Neurospora crassa OR74A: one gene and its partners. Each later gene encodes a partner of the first gene's protein in a complex. Links are inferred from orthologs where the notes say so. Each region holds a gene or a part of one and is shown in the gene's direction. Other genes may lie near its edges. The genes, in order: NCU02804, NCU07057 and NCU17114.

What was found.
Region 2: NCU02804 (region 1) and NCU07057 share a complex: the UniProt entries of both Schizosaccharomyces pombe proteins name them as parts of the mitochondrial large ribosomal subunit. The link is inferred for Neurospora crassa OR74A from reciprocal best matches to the Schizosaccharomyces pombe genes mrpl25 and mrpl27.
Region 3: NCU02804 (region 1) and NCU17114 share a complex: the UniProt entries of both Schizosaccharomyces pombe proteins name them as parts of the mitochondrial large ribosomal subunit. The link is inferred for Neurospora crassa OR74A from reciprocal best matches to the Schizosaccharomyces pombe genes mrpl25 and mrpl39.

What each region holds. Positions count from the first base shown.
Region 1 is NC_026501.1:9,064,357-9,066,941, reverse strand, and holds NCU02804 (mitochondrial 60S ribosomal protein L25), read left to right. Parts: upstream 1-959; 5' UTR 960-1,151; coding exon 1,152-1,546; intron 1,547-1,634; coding exon 1,635-1,695; intron 1,696-1,756; coding exon 1,757-1,792; 3' UTR 1,793-1,965; downstream 1,966-2,585. Other genes in the region: NCU02803 (pre-mRNA-splicing ATP-dependent RNA helicase prp-28), read right to left, coding at 1-646; NCU02805 (diphthamide biosynthesis protein 4), read left to right, coding at 2,384-2,585. UniProt on the Schizosaccharomyces pombe protein: Component of the mitochondrial ribosome (mitoribosome), a dedicated translation machinery responsible for the synthesis of mitochondrial genome-encoded proteins, including at least some of the essential transmembrane subunits of the mitochondrial respiratory chain.
Region 2 is NC_026506.1:333,839-337,153, forward strand, and holds NCU07057 (hypothetical protein), read left to right. Parts: upstream 1-1,264; 5' UTR 1,265-1,545; coding exon 1,546-1,734; intron 1,735-1,874; coding exon 1,875-1,997; 3' UTR 1,998-2,770; downstream 2,771-3,315. Other genes in the region: NCU07058 (small nucleolar ribonucleoprotein complex subunit Utp14), read right to left, coding at 1-837; NCU17062 (hypothetical protein), read left to right, coding at 3,064-3,315. UniProt on the Schizosaccharomyces pombe protein: Component of the mitochondrial ribosome (mitoribosome), a dedicated translation machinery responsible for the synthesis of mitochondrial genome-encoded proteins, including at least some of the essential transmembrane subunits of the mitochondrial respiratory chain.
Region 3 is NC_026506.1:2,293,063-2,296,014, forward strand, and holds NCU17114 (hypothetical protein), read left to right. Parts: upstream 1-832; 5' UTR 833-1,121; coding exon 1,122-1,134; intron 1,135-1,265; coding exon 1,266-1,382; intron 1,383-1,805; coding exon 1,806-1,855; 3' UTR 1,856-2,361; downstream 2,362-2,952. Other genes in the region: NCU03974 (hypothetical protein), read right to left, coding at 2,671-2,952. UniProt on the Schizosaccharomyces pombe protein: Component of the mitochondrial ribosome (mitoribosome), a dedicated translation machinery responsible for the synthesis of mitochondrial genome-encoded proteins, including at least some of the essential transmembrane subunits of the mitochondrial respiratory chain.

The sequences.
Region 1 (2,585 bases):
TCTCTTCCGTCATCTCGTAACCACCAAGTCGGACCAGAGGCTCTTGACGCTCTGCGTAGATGGGGTCGAAGGGTCGGCTAGTGTCGTCATCGGCATCCCAGTCAAAGTTGAACTTGTTCGCTGCCGTCCTCCTCCTCTTCTTCTTGGCCGAGAATGTGGACTGATTTACTACTGGACCCATGTAGCGGGCGCGCAGCTCTGCCTCGTCGTTCCTCTCCATCTTGGCTCGCTTCTCTTCGTCATCGTTGGGTGCGCCGCGTTTTGCGCCCCGTTGGTTTCTGTCTCGGTTATCTCTGTTGTCGCGATTGTCTCTGTAGTCCCGACCGTTGCTCATGCCGTTGGGTCCCCGGTCATCGTCGTACCGCATCGCCTTGGGTCCGGTTGGGATGTTTCGTTGAGGGTTGTGGTTGTGATGACTCTGGATACCGTCCATGCGGTTGCCGTTATGATTTGTTCCATTTGGTTGAGGCTTGGCTTCTTCCTTGCGCTTGCGTTCCTCTTCTTCCTTTGCCTTTTTCTCGGCTTCTAGCCTCTCTCGTTCCTTTTTGGGGATGAATCTTGGTTTCGCGGCGGCGGCTTCTTCCTCCTTCTTCTTGCGCAGCAGTGCTGCCAGGTCTGGGGGTTCCCGTCTTGATGTCGTGCTCATCGTGGTAGTGTATGGAGTTGGTGATGAATCGAAGGAAGAGACTGGTCGGAGGCGACAGTGTTGACAATAAACGTGTTGATTTCCAAGCAGTGCTGGGTTCCGGAATGGGGTTGTTGTTATGGCGAACTTGGGTGGTTCTGGGGTGCAGCAGCGGTGCAGCACAGTTCTCGACCCGCCCAAAAGTTATGTCACGGTTCAAGGTCGGTGATCCCTGTCGTGCCTGTTCAAGGGTCTCCACATGCCCCGCCTTACGCGGGGGGTTAAAGAGGTCGGGTTAGGGCTCAAAGTGTAACTTCCGGCTGTCGCTATGTACCGTTTCGCGACCTGGAACTTTTTCGCAGTTGGGGTCCCGTCGGCGGCCGATTGATCGCAAAGTTCCCCGTTCCGGTTCGTTCGAGCAATCCGGACCCTGTCACCTACGACAAAAACAAACAAACAAACAACCCCCCCCCCCACCTCGACCGACACAGTACCGCCAGCAGGCCGGTCGATCGACATCTTCACCATGGCGGCCACGGTGAAGCAGCACGTCCAGCTGGCGCTTTCGCTCCCACCGCGGTTGCGCACCTTCTTGGCCCGGTACCCGCCGGCCTCGATCCTGCCCGCCGGCGCCGACCCCGAGACGCACAAGACGCCCTACCAGGAGGAGAGCCCGAACCCGTTCATGCCCACCAAGCACCCAATCACCGGAAAGTGGCACAACCCCAAGTACTCGCTCAGGCGACAGGCCGAGCTCGTCAAGCTGGCCCAGGAACACGGCGTCGAGGAGCTGCTGCCCTTCACCCGCAAGCTCAACGAGGAGAAGCTACGGAAGAGAGTCGAGCTCGGTCTCCGTGTCAAGGGTACCGGTGTTGGAGAGAAGGTCAAGGGTCACAAGCACGAAAGGACACTGGTTGCCAAGTACGTTGTCGATCCTCGGCTGCTGCTGCTGCTGCTGCTGCTGGTTGGGAGGAAGTGGTGGTTTGCTGACGGTGGATTTCGCACACAGGATGGAGAAGAGGAGAGAGGCCATGCTGGCTATGCCCGACCTTATCCGGGAATGGAAAAAGGTAAGGATTGCGCCCAAACTCTTGCGGTTTGCACTCTTGTTAACCATGGGCTTCGCTACAGGTCGGCAAGAGGAACTGGACCAAGTTCCCCAAATAAGCGATCGGTTGTTGTCGCTTGTCGGGAAGATTACAACGAGAGTCACTGCCATGTCCATAGACTGTATCATCACCAACAATGTACAACAAATTTCAAGCCATTTGGAAGGGGATTGCCATCAATGTGGTTCTGTTTCCCGGTTGTTGACTGAACGTCCTCTGGCGTCTTATAAGACGGAGTTCCCCACTGTGGTTGGAGGCCGAGACGAGGTAATGTGTCTAACGGTGCAGTAAAATTTCCCCCCCGAATTTGTTTCTCTGAACAACTCACTTCACGATACCAGGCACACAACTAAGACTCAAACCACCACGTGAGAACCGACACATCACACATCCTCTTTTTTTTGCCTATTCACATTTCCTACTGTATACAGCAACATAACAAGGGCAGCGAGCGCAAAGAGACACGTGATTGCGGGATACAAACTTTTCTCTCGAAAGCTGCTCGACGCAAACCACCAACCTTTCACCACTTACACGTCGATACATTTCAACACCAAACCGGTCTCACAACCATACCATTTTATACCCGGGGCCGCACTACCAAACACCACATTGAACACCAAACCGCAAAACCACCAACACATCCAAGATGTCCCAACCAACCTTCTACGAAATCCTCTCCCTCTCACCCACCACCTCCGACCTCACCCCCGCCTCGATCAAACAAGCCTACCGCCGCGCCCTCCTCACCCACCACCCCGACAAGTCTTCCTCTAACTTCTCCTCCTCTACCTCCAACAGCCACTCCAACAGCCACCCCAAAGGACATCACCCCCCAAAAACACGCTACA
Region 2 (3,315 bases), on another chromosome or scaffold:
GCCAAGGAGGCCGAGATCTGAGAGACTGAGTTTGTTTGTTGGTTTCGAGCCTGATTGCTCCTCGTCGTCGTTGTCGTCGCCCGCAAACCCGGAGATCATCTTTTGGAGGTCGTCGAGCTTGGAAGGGTCTTCCATATCGTCGTCACTGTCTTCGCTTTCGCTCGATTCGCTGTCCGCGTCGTCTTCCGATCCTGACTCCTCTTCGCCCTCCTCCTCCTCGCTGCTTTCATACTGATCCAGTGCTGTGGCGAGATCGATGGCGTCGGAACCGAGCGACTCCAAGTCATCGTCCTCATCTTCGTCCTCTTCCTCCTCATCACTGTCGTTTCCACCCTTCTTCGCCTTCTTGCCCTTCTTGTTGGAGCTGCTCCCGCTGAAGGCATAGCCATCGAACTTTTCCTCGTCGCTCTCACCAAAGGCCTCATCAGAGTCGAGTTCGGAATCTTCGTCATCAGCGCCTACACCAACGTGCCACTCCTCGCCATCGCTGTCCTCGCCACCGTCGGAGAAGCCTTCGAAATCGTCGCTGTTTTTGGCCTTCTTCTTTTGTGGCCTGGCGTCCTCGAGATCTTCCTCATCCTCGTCTCCGTCCTCATCGTCTTCGTCGTCGCCATCTCGTTGTCTCTTCTGGGGGCGCTCTTCGGGCTCGTCGAGGTCTCGTGTGCGGACGCCCTTGGCTTTCTTTTGGGGGACTTGTTCGGCGGCAATAGCGAAGGCGTCGAGGACGTTGTTTCTGGATTTCCTATCGGCAGTCTTGTTGTTGACTCTGTGCTTGGGACGCCCTCCGCCGCCCGACTTGGGCATTAGAGGCCTGCCGTGGGCTTGACGGCCGGGCATTTTGCTGGTATTTGAGAATTGACTGATTGGAAGTCGGAAGGTAATTCAGTCAATTAAGTTCGAGGTCGAGCAAGCAAAAATTGGGTGATGAGATTGTCGACGAAGTCCAGTGGTTGGATGGAATGAATCGATGGATGTCAATGTCCAACTTTTGCCTGCACGGGTCCTGGAGGTCGAAGTGGTCAGGTCCCTTCAACGGCAACTCCCACCAAGCCTTCAACTTTCTGCCAGTGAACAAGCTCCCCCGAAACTTTTTCTGCCGCCTCTGTAATCGATAATTTTCGGGCGGTGAGGGCGCAACACCCACCCATTTTGCGGGGCCGCAGCAGGCTACAGGGGTACCTGTTTCTCCCAGCCTCACGTCATTGGCTCAATTGAGCTCCAAACTTCTGAAATGGCTCCACCTCAACCCGGCGCGGCCCCGGACGTCTTTGCGATTTCTCGATTCCAACCCCGTCGCCCGTCGCCCGTTGCCCGTCGCCGTCCGTGTTGTCCAGCGCCAGTCCGAGTCCGAGTCCGAGTCCCGTCTCCGTTCCTGTCGCGTGCGCCGGATCTTCAACACTCTAAAGCGGATCCCGTCTCCGTCCCACTTGCGCCCACCTCAACCACCCTCACCACAGCGAGGTGCTTCCACCACCCAGATCACCGACCACAAAAAGCAATTCTCCGTCGTCGTTGCCCCGCAAAGCGCAATCCTCCTAGCCCACCATGCAGCCCACTCGCATCCTCCAAGGTCTCAAGTACCGCAAGTTGCGCCTGACCACCAAGGACGTCAACAAGGGTTTCTACAAGGGTAACCGCACCGGTTCCATGGGTACGCACACCAGCTACGGTACCTACAAGATCGACTACACCAAGGTCCGCACCTATGTGTGCCCGGACCTGACCGGTTTCAAGGTGGGTGGTCCTCTATTTCCGTCCGGGTTTGGGGTTGGAATGGGATGTGTTGGGGGATCTGGTGCTAGGGGAGGGACCGAGAATGGAGGACAAAAGAGAATAAAAAAGAATTATGCTAACAAGATCCAACAACAACAAAGCTCACCCCCTTCGTCTCCAAGACCATCCGCCCCGTCCACGACCAGTTCCCCGGCGACAAGCTCGGCCCCAAGAACCCCGCCACTTACCTTGCTCGCTGGAAGTCGGAGAACGGTCTCGACTAAACGGTCGTCATTTTTTCAAGGAGGGAGGAGGAGGACATTACGATACCAGACCACGGCGAGGAAATGGAGCGAGGCTCACTCAACTATCAAACTACCAAACGCAATATATACCCAAGTTCTGATTACATTCCGAAAGCCTGCCGACACAGACCCGTTCGAAGGACCACGAGCCACTCTCCACTGTACATTATATGACCTGACCACCAGGAATCAACCACCTAGCAGCTCCACTGTTCTGGGTCATATGTGAAATTGGAACATGTCCAGGTTCTCTGCCTTTGGAGTCGCCACGCTGCTACCTAGGCTGATGGTCTCGACATTCCTACCATTGAGATACAGCCTGATAGCTAACCATACGTATTCAAAGAACACTCGCCTTCAGAGCTGCCTACGATACATCTCCCCTTTCGGATTGGTTCTTTGAATTTTGATGTCACGATGATCTCGCCGTCACATTTCTTTTCTTCTAGAAGAGACAAGGCCGATTTATATGACTATACCCAAAGGTGTCCAATGGTCCCTGTCCGAGATTCAAGGGGGTCTTGTTTCAGTTGTTAGATTATTGAGGGAGCGAGATCGGGGATTTTAATAGGGTTAGGGCTTAGGTCACTCTTGTTGATTGTTGCCTAACCTCTATTTGCCCTTTGCCTGGTCGCCTTTGAGAAGGTGCGTTGTGTGCCTAGCAATGAGGGGTATTTCTACCTAGAGGTAGTTTCGCGGGTTTCTTCCTTTCCTTACCTTCAGTTACTTTATTCTAAGCAACCACCGCCTCCCAGAAGAACCTTTCTCTGGCATGAAGCAATTCACCTTCGGCTCAAGTTTCACGACATACAAAGGGATCACCGAATTCAAACGAGCGAATCCCGTCGAGAAAGTTCGCCCCAACTCGCCAGTGCGCCCCATCAATCCCATTTGTTTTGCATGAACTTGTCTATGGTCTTTCTTTCCCTTGAATCTCCTGGCCACCCAGCTCTTCCTGAAGCTGCAAGCCTCTCCTCATTCACTTGATACCTTGACATGTCATCTGCCCATCCCACAACAGACCTAATCATAATCAACCAACACCATGAAACCATCTGCCCACTTCAACCATGGACCGATCGACAATGCCTTGGCAGAGGAACCCGTCATGAAGTCTCGCTACCCCCCCAGGCAGCTTAACAAGCTCTGTGATGGTTGCCAAGCAGTGTTCCCTACGACTGGGCCGTGGTTCTGGGACCTGGAAGACGCCGTGCTTGCCGACGAAGATGATTGGCACCTGCGGGATTTCAGCATTTGTGACCTTCACGAGTCGGCAGGGGCGGGCTGTCACTTGTGC
Region 3 (2,952 bases), on another chromosome or scaffold:
GCAAAGACACTATGAATGGGGGGGGGGGGGGGGGGGGGGAAAGATAGCACGCAGAAGAACACACGAACTTTTTTTTTTTTTTCTTTTTTTCATCAAATGTAGCAACCCAAACTGAACTAATGAGCTCCGAAACAGGAGCACGGAAAGCGGTGTGGTCTAGAACTTTTTGTTACAAAAGAGTCTTCGTTCCGGTCCGGTTTTGCTCCCGCGATCCATTTCTGGCGGGGTCGCAGAGGTCCGAATCGAGACTACAGTCTTGGTACAGTATGGAGAGTCAATCAAACAAATGCCATATTCTGATTCGGACTGCTATCCGCCAGACGAGGCGGTATCGCTGAGCTGTTTCGTAGCCGCCAAGATAAGCTGCTGCTGTGCTGTGCTGCCTGACAAGCCAACGTTAAATCCGGGCCGTTGTATTCTACCTCTAGAGGTAGCTGCGGCATGTGTAGGACCAGTGGACTATATCTAGTATCCAGGAACTATCCTTTTCGTCGACTTACACAGTTCCCTTCCAGCGCCTTGTTGGCGGGACGGGCATGATTACAGCCACAGTGCTGTCAACGGTCACCATGTTGAAATTACGGTACACAAATATCAAATTTATGTTCTTGAATACATCTCTCTCAGTGTACAAGCCCAGCAAAGGTGTTGATGTTGTCAATAAATTTGTGTGAGATGTTCTGATAGATATCACGCCCGTTGTGTTTTGGCCAAGGCCTCTGGGGTTCCTCGGTGAGCTCTCAGCTCACTACACTCAGCTTGTTCCTCACCTTGCCTTCACCGATCCTACAAGTACACTAAACCGCGGGCAGCCACCTGCCAAGCCCAGCTAGGAGCGCACACGACCCACCCACAGCCCCACCACGGCCCACGCACCCCCGGCGGGCCGGCAGGCAAAATCTACAATCGCAATCGCAAGAAGCGCGGACGACCCGACGTCGATTGGAGAGCTTCCGGCGCAAAGACCGTGCTCCGTGAATCCGCCCGCCCTCCGCCCGCAGTTTGCGAACCTCTCCGTCCGGACGAGCCCCAGCCCGTCGCCCGTCGCCGTACCGCACTTGATCCAGTCCAGTCCAGGCGCGCCGTTGCACACCACAACAGCGCAACAAAAGTCGTTCAACATGGCGAAGAAGGGTAATCGACTCCATCCTCACCCGTGTGTCTGCAATTACTGCTTTGTTTTCCTAAAGGGAAAAGCGATGCAATGGGGAAACCGGAAACCGAAAACAGAAGACGATAGTTGCTGATAGGTAAACAACAAACAGCCAAGTCCCGCATCATTAACGTGCGCCTGATCTCAATGGCCATGACGGGTTATTTCTACACCTTCACCCGTCCCCGTACCTCGCTGCCTATGAGCATGCTGAAATACGATCCGATCGGTATGCGCATATCCTCTCCCCTCATTCCTATCTACCTCTTTCGCTTCCAACCACCTACATGATTGATTCGGCGGACACGACGACACGGGCATGATATGGAACTCTTTTTGGTTGCGGGCTTTCTCGATTTGCACGATTCGAAACACCCCAATACGCTTCGTCGAACGGACCTTGGGAAGCTCGCTTGGGACTGGGACTAGGACTGGGATCAGGCTGGGACGCAACAGTTCAAAGACTCGGACGATGGCATAACGTACGGACCTTCGAGAAAAGAAAAAAAAAAAAGCAACCAGCCAACCAACCGGCCAACAGAGAAGAGAGGAGGGGACGGAAGAAACACTTGCCTACGACAGACAATTTTTCCCAATCACGGATCTCGAAGAGGAAGGAATACCTACTAACCCTTTCGCCTCTCCACCATAGTTCGCCGCAAGGTCCTCTTCCTCGAACAGAAACGCAAGGGCAGGTCATAGATCGTTACTCGCCCCCGGGCCTAACGACCGTCGAACGACCGAGAGCCAGAGCGAGAACGCGGAGCCTGCGATACGGAATCAAAGAGCGTAGCGGCGAAGCAGCGACAAGTAAAAAGCTACAGCACCCCCTCCACGGATTACCACGTCACACCAAGTTACGATTTCGACCGGGTTGTGTTTCAAGCAGATCACCAGCAGACAATGGCCAGTGCTGGCGAGTGAGTTGGAGCTGGAGCTGGAGAGGGGGGTGGACCGGACCGGAACTGGACTGGATATATGGAGAAGAGAGGCGCAAGAATAAGATGGGGTCCCTCGTTCCATCCAGTCTCTGGTCGTGTATTATTACTGTACCACCGATCCATCAGTATATAACATCACCCTGTGAGTTATGGATTGGCACCATGGAGCGTTTGTTGCTTCTTCGCTCTACCGATGGGCCAGGTTGATTAGAGAATGTACAAGTCAAGAGATAAGCACAACGCCCCTCGGCCGTCGGCAATGCTGGGCGTGACCCAGGTTCACTGCCAAGTGGCTCTCCCTTCTCTTGTGTTGTGTGGTAAGGATAACTCTTCTATCGCGATCAGACAGTCTGTCATGACACCTCGACATCTTTGACTTTTCTTGCCATCGTACATCGCTTTATCTCATCTTTCTATATTTTCGTGGAAATCAAACTTTTCATTAGTCACAAGACCCGTCTCCCAACATTTTACAGGCGTTCTTTCACACTCTTCTCGTCGTATACATATTGAATCTCAATTCATTCGAAACACAGTCTCCAATCCACACAAATACGCCATGCATCGACATATGGATCATAACTTATTCCCAGGCGGAGGCAGAGGCAAGTCATCTCCGTCTTCTTTGTTTGCATTCTGCGAGAGGGTCATGGAGTCTTGGGTCTCATCATTGGCGCCCCCGTATCGCGAAAGTGGCTGGGACTGAGACCGTGATTGGGACTCGCCGTTCGTTTGACTGACCGAGTTGGTGTTTTCCGCAGGATCAACGGACCTTCTACTGCCATAAGTTCGAGTCGGTGCTGATCTGGGTGGCAAAAACCTGTTGGCACCGTTCATGACCTCGGGTAGGAGGCCAAA